2 linked regions of the Caenorhabditis elegans genome follow. The protein of the gene in region 2 interacts with the protein of the main gene of each other region in a pairwise test. Each region holds a gene or a part of one and is shown on either strand. Other genes may lie near its edges. The genes, in order: erm-1 and act-5.

The links.
Region 1: the proteins of act-5 (region 2) and erm-1 interact in a two-hybrid assay, tested with the Caenorhabditis elegans proteins (one study listed by BioGRID).

What each region holds. Positions count from the first base shown.
Region 1 is NC_003279.8:5,284,578-5,292,462, forward strand, and holds the start of erm-1 (Moesin/ezrin/radixin homolog 1), read right to left. Parts: upstream 6,118-7,885; 5' UTR 6,059-6,117; coding exon 6,041-6,058; intron 5,942-6,040; coding exon 5,858-5,941; intron 5,617-5,857; coding exon 5,416-5,616; intron 3,742-5,415; coding exon 3,587-3,741; intron 3,265-3,586; coding exon 3,105-3,264; intron 3,057-3,104; coding exon 2,874-3,056; intron 2,135-2,873; coding exon 1,955-2,134; intron 1,873-1,954; coding exon 1,525-1,872; intron 992-1,524; coding exon 886-991; intron 809-885; coding exon 642-808; intron 114-641; coding exon 21-113; 3' UTR 1-20.
Region 2 is NC_003281.10:13,603,912-13,607,899, forward strand, and holds act-5 (Actin), read right to left. Parts: upstream 2,156-3,988; coding exon 1,655-2,155; intron 1,320-1,654; coding exon 853-1,319; intron 803-852; coding exon 643-802; 3' UTR 501-642; downstream 1-500.

The sequences.
Region 1 (7,885 bases), on a different chromosome or scaffold from region 2:
AAATACGATAGAACAAATAATTACATATTTTCGTATTGATCGATTCTTCGTTTTGTGTTTCCTCCACGGATTTGACGGAGAGTCTTGTACTTGTCGCGTCCGGCCTTTTTGTTCTGAAAATTTAAAAATTTGGAATCGGGCCGGCAGGTTTTTCGGTTTTTCGATATTTCGGTTTCGCTCAAAAAATCTAAAAAATTTAGGGTCAAACTTGTTCAAAAATAAGTAAAATTTATGTTGCTTGTTTCCGTAAAGGAAATACCGAGTTTGGAATGTTTTCAGAAATGTTTTCGGTTTGTCTGCAAACAGAAAACACCGAAAAAACTCAATTTCTGTACTTCAAACAATTTTAATATCATAAAATTATTTTTAAGCAAAATTTGTTTTTAATGGCTTTTTAATGATTTTTAATGATTTTTTTTATTTTAAAATAATCCGGAACTCGATATTTTTTAAAGATTTTTGCGTTCTTCTGTTTTTTTCCAAATTTAATTTTTAAAAAATTGTATTTTGATCGCAGTCCGGAAATATTTTTTAAAACTTGAATTTATGAAAAAAATGCAGGTTCTAGAAAATTACTGTAAATTTTGAATGCTAAATTCTCTAAAACCATCCATTAAAACGAGTTTTTTTAAAATACGAACCTCCATATGCAGAACGTCGTAGTCAGTGACAGCGTTCTGATCTTTAACACTGTCAAGCTCGCGAGTCAACATATCCAGCTTATTCTTGATCTGAATGTTCTTCTCGGCTGCTGTGACACGCTCCAACTCGTGTTGTGGCACATTCTGATCAGCGTCATTTGTGAGTTCTGGAAGATAAAATTTGAAGATGATATTTTTTCTCATAATCTCTCCCAATTATTTTAAATAAATAAAAAAGGCATACCAGTTGCTCCATTATCTTCATCATCAGTGGCAGTCTCATCGTGAGCGTGTCCATTGGAAACGTGATGACTGTTTGAGTAGTGTTGAGTGTGTTGTTGCGAGTGAATCTGAATTTAAGAAAAAATAATTTTGAAATAAAATAAATCCAGAGTTACAATCAGGGATTCCGTTTTTTTTGGTTTTTTCGGACAAGAAAACATTTAAAAAAATGTTTATCAAAAATTTTATGTTTTAGTTGGTATGACGAAAAATGAACATTTTTGTTTTTTTTTGTTGGTTTTTTGGAGAAATTTTAAACAAAATTTGTTTGTTTTTTGGCCGAAATTTTTGTTGCAACATCACTGCGTACAATTAAAAAATCTCGCTTTTAAAGATCGGATTTTTTATTCTTTCACAATTTTTTTTAGTTTTTTCTTTTTGTATCTCTTTTATTGTTGCAAATTTTTTTTTTAAATTAAGCTTTTTTGTTACAGTAATCAACTAATTTCAGGAATTACTGCATACTTTTTTTCATTTTAAAATTTTAAAACAGTAATTTCAGACTGAAAATTACTGCTCGATAATTGTTAATACGGTATTTAAAATAATTTTTTTAAAGAGAATTTTTTGTTTCTATTTTAGTTTCAAAAATAAAAAATACCTGTGTCTGAAGTTGTCTTGTAACAGTAGTCTGTCTCTCGACTTCTTCTCTCATCGAAAAAACTTCACGTTCACGAGCATCAACTTGGTCTCTCAAATGACGTCTCTCACCATCACTCATTGCTTTTTCGGATTGAAGTTGAGCAGTGAGCTCACGAAGTTCGTATTCCTTCTGTTCCAATGCTTGTTTAGCCAATTGCAATTGCTTGAGTTGAGCCTCCAATGAGTGAATTGTATTGTGTGCTTCAGCCAATTCAAGACGAGCTCTCTCCATATCTTCCTGCATTTGAGCCATACGCTTTTCGGCGTCACGTTGACGCTGTTCGGCTTCTTCGCGAGCAGACATCTCCTGTACGATCAAAACAGATTTGAGTGAAAGTTTTTTTAGAAATTATTTGTAAAAACATGTTTCAAAAATTTCCGCAACTTACTCTGGTGAGCTTCTCCTGCTCGGCAATCTTAAGAGCACGATCCTCTCTGGCTTGTTGCTTCATTTGTTGAACTTCAATGGTATCTGGCTTTCTTCTACGCATGTAAAGCTCGTGATTTCCCATACACAAAGCAAGAATACGTTTGTTGATACGGAGTCGTGGAGCGTAGAAGACAAAGTCCTGAAAATTAATGATAAAAATGAAGACGAATAATGAAAAACATTTTTTCGATTTTTTTTTCAGCGAAAATAAGAATTTTTTTTCGATTTTTCTAAAATCAAAAAATCGGGGAAAAAATGTTCAGAAAAATTACAACAAACTCAATTTCCACAAAATGTTCCATCCATCTCGAAATTTGCGATTTTTGATACAAAAACACATTACTCGATATCGAGGCGATCGAATAAATTTAAATGAAAAAGGATGTGCGCATTTAAAAAGTACAGTAGTTACCGTTGAGCTGATTTGAAATTTTCATAGATTTTTTCTAAATATTTTTATTGTAAAAACCTTTTATTTTACTTTTGTTAGTGAAACTAATTTTTATTAATTAATAAACTAGAAAAATCTAACGAAGTTGGAAATCAGAAAGGCCTGGAGCTACTCTACTTTTTAAAGGTGCACACCATTTTGGTAAATAAATTTATTCGGTCGTGTCGAGACCGAGACCGGGCACCATACTTTTGCCTCAAAATCGCAACATTCCGCATCTGGTCAATGATTGTGATATTTTCACACCCCAAAAATAAGAAAAACCAACAAAAAAATTTTAAATCAAAATTCAATGTTCCATCGATTGCTTCTTATCACCACCACTTCCAACTACTATCACACAATTTTTCCGTTTTTTCCGCAGAAATTTTGCCAACAAATAGAAGCTTGATGCCACGACAAACTGTGTGTGACAGTAATCACTTACATGAGCCTTCTTATCAATTGGTTTGATGACAAATTTCTTGTCGTTGAATGATATATTACGAATCTCCGACCATGGGAATCCGACTTTCGGCGAAAGACGATCAGCTTTATCGTAAATATTCAATCCAAGAGCATCGACACCAAGATAGAGATCAGTTCCCTTTTTGTTGCGGATTTCAAAGTACTGAAATTAGCTTTTTTTAAAACTCGACAGAAAAATGAGAAACAGTACATTGACTCCATACATCTCGAGATCTTGTGCAATTTTCAAATATTCAAGCATAGCTTGTTCACGTGTAGTTGCACGATGATCTGCCCACCATGTCATAATACGGCGTTCCCATTCCTCACTGTTCAATTTGAATTGTCCGAGAACGCGTTGAGGAAGCAGACTGGAATGAAATAATTAATTATTTTTGGCATTTAATATAAAAAGTTTACTTTTTTTTAACTACTTCTTATTATATACTTTTTTATTGATCATCTAGATCTGGAACTTTCCCTTCTTTATTCTAATCTCATTTTCATGTGATAATTATGAATTGTATGAGTACTGTGATACTGTGAAATTTCACTACATAATTAAAAATGAATTATCGCAGAAAATTATTATTTTTCTTATTTTAGTAATCTTGATTGGAATTTTGAACCGCAAAGATATTTTTTAATAGTTATTAATAATTTTTTTAAAAGCTAATTTCAAGAAAAACTCACCGATCAGCAGTAAGACATCCGGCGACATGTGTCTCTGGAACATAGTCTCCATATTTAGCTTGCATCGCGTAAGAGGCAAGAAGAACAGAGGTTTCCGGTGGACAATAAATCTCATCTGACAGAATTCCATCTTTCACTTGGAGATAGAACAAACGCTGAAAATATTTTCATTTAATTAAGGCTTAATTTCAGTTAAAAAACTTCATAATTTTTTAACTGTATGTTCTGTACATTGAGATTGTTTTCTGACATTTTAAAAAACCATACTCCATTTTCAACTAATGATTCTGAAACCCAATTGTTCCCTCTTCCAAACAAAAAATTCTGCAAATTTTGCAAAAAGTTCAATTTATATTCTCTTCCCCTCATATTTATCGTTTTGAATCATTTTTTGATTATTCACACATGCCATTCTCCTCTTCCTCTTTATGTCAGTTATGAACATGAATATAAAAAGAGCAAAGAGACAGCAACAAACTGAGAGTTTTTTCATTGTTTCCATTGATATGAGTCATCGGAACAGAATTTAAGTCAGTCTATCTATTCAAATTCAAATGCGAAATATTATTGGAAATCTAAAAAAAAGAGAAAAAATCAATTTACTTAACCGGAAGTGATATTTATATTTTTGAATCATTTGAGAAAGTGCTCAAAAAAGGTTTTTTTGTGAATTAGAAACTTTCAGACCATTTTTGTGCATTTTCTCAAATGTTTCAACTGAAAAATGTTATTTTCATAGAAATAAAAGTATTTTTCTATATTTAAAAAAAAAAGAAATTTTTACATTAATTTTAACAACTGATCTAAATTTGCATATAGGTACTAAATCAATTTGCATATAGGTACTAAATAGCTATTCTACTGAAATCTTCAACTGATCTTGTGATCCTATTCAAACAAAACAGACCACCCAGATCAGAGATTTCCTGTTCGCAGTCGGAGGTTCTAATAGGATGCTCATTTCTCCTCTCAAAAAAAGAGTCTCGCACACACAGTGTCTTCCCATCGATGTTTACAAACCATTAAACAATCTCTTTTTGTGTGAGACAAAAAAGTGGCTCGGAGGTAATCGGAAACCACACTCTCAATGGGAGAACCTTTTTTTGAAACGGAAGGGAGAAAATGCCCATGTTTACACTTGTCACCATCAAAATATTTTGTTTTTAGGCAGTTTATTGAGGACCTTGTGAGCACATGAGCCGTGGAAATTTTTGAGCAGAAGAGTTTTTTTTGCTCAAATAAAACTGGTTTAAAAAATTCAAAAATTCTTTATAGCGAGCCAAAATTCTCAAAAAAGAGCCAAATTTTCCTAAATCGGAATGCCATTTTATTGAATTATCACTGGCATAAAAAACTTTATTCTAATTTTAGCAAAAATATCGGATTTTTTTAACAGAAAAAATATCGGATTTTTTTCAGAATTTTCACTGCTTTAATTCATTTTCGGGCATTTTTTGAGAAATTTCATTTTGAAATTTGGTCGTTTTGGGGTCTTTTTAAGCAGGCCAGCTTGTAAGAAGGTACTCTAAAACCACAGAAATGTATTCCTTACCAAAATTTTCCCCTTTTTTTCTATTCTTGAATATACTCCAAAGTTATTTCCTATTGCTTGCCAACATTGCATTACATGCATAAATGGCACGGGCATTCTCTACTTATCAGTTACAAATCAGAAATAGCACAGGAAATCAAGAGAGTCGCCAGAGAATGTCAGAAAAGCGAAAAGTGAGAATTACAACTAAAAATCAAATATTGGCCAGAGGTAATGGAAAATTTACAGTTTTTTTTTTCCAAAAAATTAAATATTTAAAAAAAGGTGTCAAACATACCATAGTGACATCCTGGATAATCTCCTCGGCCACATCTTCCGGATAGAATTTGGCGCGGAATTTGAAAACAAGAGTCGGGTCCTTCTTAACGTCCTGAGACAAGACTTTCTTGTTCAATTTCAGCCATGTTGGGAATCCCTTGTTGTCAGTGTACTGAAGTCCAAAATACCAGATCTCGCGGAGACCAATGGTTTTGACAACCTGCAAAAATTAAAATGAAGGAATTAATATTGCTGGAAAATTCGAAACTCAATTTCAAGAGCTGGAAATTTTGGATTATTTTTTTCAAATTTAAATCGTTTTGATTTAAAATTTCTAATGGTTAGTGAAAATTTAATGTTTCAGAAAATTCTGATTTTTTTTTTGAATTATTAAAATTTATCCATTCTCCAATTTAATAAAAAAAGTACTTTTTAAATATAATAAAACAAAATCATCTAACCTGATCAAAAAGTTGCTTTCCTGTGGTGCTCGACTGAATAGCGAACTCGAGCTCCGAGTCCATCGAGGTGACACGCACATTGATCTGAAACAAGAAATAGTTGGATTAGGCAAAAATAAAATCGATTTTTCGTTATATTTTTTCTTAAATTTCTAAAAAAAATTTTTTCAATTAACAATTTACATCGCCGGCCGCAACCATTTTTCTATTTTGTGTTCCACAAGTTTGAACTGCTGGACCAATTGATATGAAGAGGTTAGCTTAAAATTTTTCAGTAAAATGATATAAGAAATCTTGCATGAAAATCAGAAATTCAAAATAAAAAAAAGAGTGAAACTTGAGAATTTAAAATTCTTATCTAAAACTAAATGATATGAGTTGTCACTCTCTCTCCCTGTATACAGCACAAAAACGGAGTGAGAAGAACTATAGACCGCCCGTTTTTGTACAGGCTCCGCCTATTTGTCGGTTTGCACACATACATGTGCGCATTTCTTCATAGAAGTTTCGGCAGAAAAAAAAAGAATGAAATGATATTTCAAATATCATCAATTTTGAGTTTATTTCGAGTTCAAAATTGTTCGCGGCTCTACTTCGTAAGCGTAAAAATCTGAATTGTTTTCTAAAATTTTTTAAATTAATTTTGTAAAAAATATATGTTTTGTATTTTATTTCCCACTTATATGTTTAAAAAGAGGCGCATTTATGCAAAATGGTATTGAAACCCTCTATTTTCGAAAATTTCAACAAAACCTCAAAAATGAGTCCATTTTGCAGAAATATGCCTCTTTATAGTCTTATAAGTGAAAAATAAAATACAGAGTATATTTTTAGATCGATAGATTCTTATTTTTTAAAAAAATCGGCAGAAGTCGTGCTGAACAGAACATAATTTCCGAAATATTCAACATTTCACAGTTTCAAATTTTTTCCATTTGTTTTTAATTAATGGCGGCATTTTTTCCGAAAGAAATAAGAAAATCGCAAATTTAAACAGTGTTTTTTTTTATTTGGCCGTAAAAGTTTTAAATTATTTGAAGCTACATTTTTCAAACTTACCGCTTTTTTCGACATTATTTTAGCTCTTTTTGATGTCCGAGTCGAAGATGGATTGGGGTGAGCGGTGAGAATTCACGAAACTTTTCCACCGAAAATCTTCGTCACTTTTTTCTGCAAGAAAGTAAAATAAGATGTGAAAATAGAATTCGAATGAACAGAGATTTCAAAAATTCATGAGAAATCAGAAAACGGAGCGAAGAAAACGAAACAAATGAGTTCAAGGTTATGAATTTTAAATTTTGAATAGAGAAATCTAATTTTTCAATCATTTATCCGAAAATTCAAAGTGACACATGGAAAATTGTGTATATTTTAGGGGGATTTATACATTTGGCGATTAAAAAAAATCAATAAAACTCGAAAAACAATAAAAAATGAGTCATCGTCTGATTCAAACCCGTTCGGATCCGTTTTTGGCGCGTTCTGCGATTTGCCACTGCACGAGAATCGCGCCAGCAGGGCGTTGGCGCGATTCTCGGGTGCCTGGACAGTTTCTTGGGAGTTTTGGCGAGTTTGAGTTTTTTTTAATGCTTTAATTATTTTAAAGAAAAAGTTTCATGAATCAAAAAATTATTCAGAAAAATATGTGTCACAGGTGGGAATATTGATTTTGATTTACAGGTACAGGGCTATTATTTCCGGCAATTCTACAAAATTATTGGGCTATGTTGTTCCAACGTTTTTCACTAAAAATTAGTGTCAAAATATCGAAAATCACTCGATTTATCTGGAAATGAAACATATTTTTAGCTGAAACATTTGAAGAAATGCTCAAAATCGGTGGGAAAGTTGCAAATTGTTAGACAAAAAATCTGATAATTCGATAATCGGATACTGGCAATTTTCAGGCCATTTTTAAAAGCTTTCTTAAATGTTTTAGCTAAATTGAAGTTTATTTTCAGACGAATCAAGTAATTTTTCGATATTTTAACACTAATTTTGAAAAATGTTGAGATAACATGACAACAA
Region 2 (3,988 bases):
AAGAAATCAAAATGGATGTTGCAAACTATCAAAAATGTTTTACAGTAAAACTATAAGACCGTACGATCATTTTTTCTCAAGAGTCATTTTTCAGTTCACTTTTTAAAATTTCTTTTTCCCAGTTATTGCAACAAGATAAAAATTATGGAAGTTGTCAAAAAAGTATCAAGAAAGCTCTGTATCACCGAAAAAAACGGGAACCGGATGGTACCGGAGTTGCCGAACGGCAGATCCGGTTTAGGTTAACTTATTTGTTTGTTTTTTTTTCTTAATTTCTAAGTAAAATCAATTTGGTACTTGTGCATTATTTCCCCTCATTTTAATATTATCCATTTTAATAAAACGTGATGTCCATTTTCCATCTTTAGGCTTAGAAATGATTATTTCCTAAGCCTAAAAAACAAAAACTCCACACGTTTTTATTTAAAATTATATTTTAAAAAATGAGGGGAAATAATACACAAGTACCATCAATTTTACTCAATTCCCAAGTAGCAAGTGGTCCTAACAAGTTTATTCATGTTAAGAAACCATAAATATAAAGAAAATGAAGTATCTCATGGAATTTGTGTCAAGTAAAATCGTGTTTCGCCTAGAAATGGAAGGCACATGTTGAAAAAAAAAATTTGAAAAAAAATCAGCTTAGAAGCACTTTCGGTGAACAATCGATGGGCCGGACTCGTCGTACTCCTGCTTGGAGATCCACATTTGCTGGAAGGTTGAGAGGGAAGCAAGAATAGATCCTCCGATCCAGACGGAGTACTTGCGCTCTGGTGGAGCAATAATCTTGATCTTCATTGTGCTGAAAATACAAGAATTATAATCTCATGTACTGAGAAATGTGAAGCTTACCTTGGAGCCAAATGTTGAATCTCCTTTTGCATACGATCAGCGATTCCTGGGAACATGGAGGTACCTCCGGAGAGAACAGTGTTGGCGTAGAGATCCTTTCTGATGTCGACATCGCACTTCATGATGGATTGGTAGGTGGTCTCGTGGATTCCGGCACCTTCCATTCCGATGAAGGCAGGCTGGAAGAGGACTTCTGGGCAGCGGAATCTCTCGTTTCCGATGGTGATAACCTGTCCGTCGGGAAGCTCGTAGCTCTTCTCGAGGGAGGAGGAGGAGGCGGCGGCGGCGAGCTCGGACTCGAAGTCGTGGGCGACGTAGCAAAGCTTCTCTTTGATGTCCCGGACGATTTCGCGTTCGGCGGTGGTGGTAAAAGTGTAACCGCGCTCGGTGAGGATCTTCATCATGTAGTCGGTCAAGTCGCGTCCGGCAAGATCGAGACGTTGGATGGCATGTGGGAGGGCATATCCCTGGAAGATTAGAAGATAAGATCGGATGTAGGTTCTAGATTTCTTAGATCCCAAAGAATTCTCACAAGAAGATTGTGGATCAGATAAGAAGATCAGAAGCTCAGGCTATGATTTGCAGAGAAATGAGGTGGCCTTGCTCTTACTAAGTTCTTACAGTTCCAAAAACTTAAAACTAAGGATAAGAGCTGCTGAGCTGAACTAAAAGTTTCCGAAAGCGCTGTGAGCCTGTTTCTGGCTGCAAAAATTAGTCGAAGCAGACGTAATCTCCAAAACTTTACACCGCCAAGTCAAAGAAGATTGCTGTCTTCTTATATTCTCTAAACCCATCTACCTACTTCATAGATTGGAACGGTGTGAGTGACACCATCTCCGGTGTCCAAAACGATTCCGGTGGTTCTTCCGGAAGCGTACAAGGAAAGCACAGCCTGAATGTTGACGTACATGGCTGGAGTGTTGAAGGTCTCAAACATGATCTGTGTCATCTTTTCTCTGTTGCTCTTTGGGTTCAATGGAGCCTCGGTAAGGAGAACTGGGTGTTCCTCTGGGGCGATACGAAGCTCGTTGTAGAATGTGTGATGCCAGATTTTCTCCATATCATCCCAGTTGGTGACGATTCCGTGCTCGATTGGGTACTTCAAGGTGAGGATTCCTCTCTTGGATTGTGCTTCATCTCCGACATACGAGTCCTTCTGTCCCATACCGACCATCACTCCCTGATGACGTGGGCGTCCGACGATGGACGGGAAGACGGCGCGTGGAGCATCGTCTCCGGCGAATCCGGCCTTGCACATTCCGGATCCATTGTCGACAACGAGGGCGGCGATTTCTTCTTCCATCTGAAATTAATAAAAGGTTGAAGAAGTCGAGTTTATAGAAAACGTTATTAAGTGATGTACGAGTACTATAAAATGCCGAAAAATGAAAATGTTGCCACATTTCCCCAAAAATGCAAAGTGTGTTATCAGTACCGCAGCCAGCTCACCATCGGGGGGAAAACGAGAAAAAGAGAGAATGGAGAGAATATGCCACATTCTGTATGTATATATGTGTGTGCGTTTGATACTGATAACTCCCTCTCTCACTTCGTTCTAAGAATTGCAGGTACGTGGTGGTTATATGTACACACTCACACACACACACACACACAAATTATCACGTCACACAGACAAAGTCATAGTTTGGTGAGCATGATGTAAGCAGCCTGTCAGAATTTGTGCTCAATTCTAGAACATGAAATTGTCAATTGACATGATATGCACTGGGAGGCTGTTAGCTATGGCCGATTTTATAAAATTGCTCAAATCAGTATAACAAATATGGAATAAACCTACGAAATTTTTGAAAATGCAGGCCAACAGGCTTACATCCGGGCTCCCCGAACTTTCCAGTAGCTCAAGCCGGCTGGTCCACTAACAAAGCATTTCAAAAAAATGTTATACATTGTCAGTTGACAACTTTACATGACCTCCTAAGATAAAAAACCCCCAAGAGATAAAAATCAACTACCGCCAGTCACTGGAGCGCTAGGAATGTAAAACTAGAAAAAATAAAGTGATAACATTCCAATTGACTCCAACTTTTAAATACTCCCTAAAATTGAAGTTTCCGCCTACCATTCCTCTTAAAGAAGCCATACTGGGAAAATGAGTCACTGATAAGTAATGAGTCAATGCTAGTTAGAAATACAATAGAAATTTAGGATCATAAACTATATTTTTTTAATGTTAGGGTGCAGCTAATCTTGAAAGTGCCGAAGATTCAAAGTTTCATTACATTACCCTTTCCGTATAATCCCAAAATACCCGTAAAAGTTACTACTACCCTATTCTGCTTATCACTGATAACAAAGAGGAAAGATGAGAAATCGGTCGAAGTGTGGAAGAAATTAATAGTTTAATTATTATTTTGAAAAAAGCAATTAGAAATGGAATAATTGAGATATCGACAATCTGAAAAACGTGAAAATAGCAGCCGGCAGCTTCCTGGGAATGTATGTAACATGGCAACAAAAAGGAAAAGAAAAAAGTTGTAAACTAAATAACAAAATTTATGTAGATTCATGTGTTGGATAGTATATTTTAACTTTTCGGCTGTAGAGGCTTATAGGTGGTTAAACTATATGTTTGTGCATTTACTATAAATCTTCTAACTACATTATAACATCATTACATGATAATCTAAATTACTGAAAAATCTTCATTACCAAGAAATAACTGTCAGTTGAACAAAAAAAAGATAATCTAAAAACTGTTTTGGCAATATTCTAATATGTATCACTTGTCGGACGAGGTATCGGAGTTCAATGTTTTGTTCCAGGTAGCACTATTCAAACTACAGTAACTCTACACTAGTTAAAAATAACAAAAGTTGTCAACTGGTAACACTTTTCATTTCTTAAACGTTTTTAGTTTTCAAAGAAAAGTTACATTTTTGTGCCCCACTGACCGAAAATGTACTTGCATCAACGAATTGTTTTTGTGAAATTTTCAAAACTTCTCATTACGAAATTTGGTAGTTTTGGGTCACTTCGGATCTAAAAAAAGCAAAGTCTCAGATTTCGGTACTCCATCTTTAAATCTTATAATCATACTTGCTTTATGTTTGCAATAGATTTATAATGTTTTTCCAATTTCTTTCCTCAATTATGCAAATCCATAAACTCCCGCCTC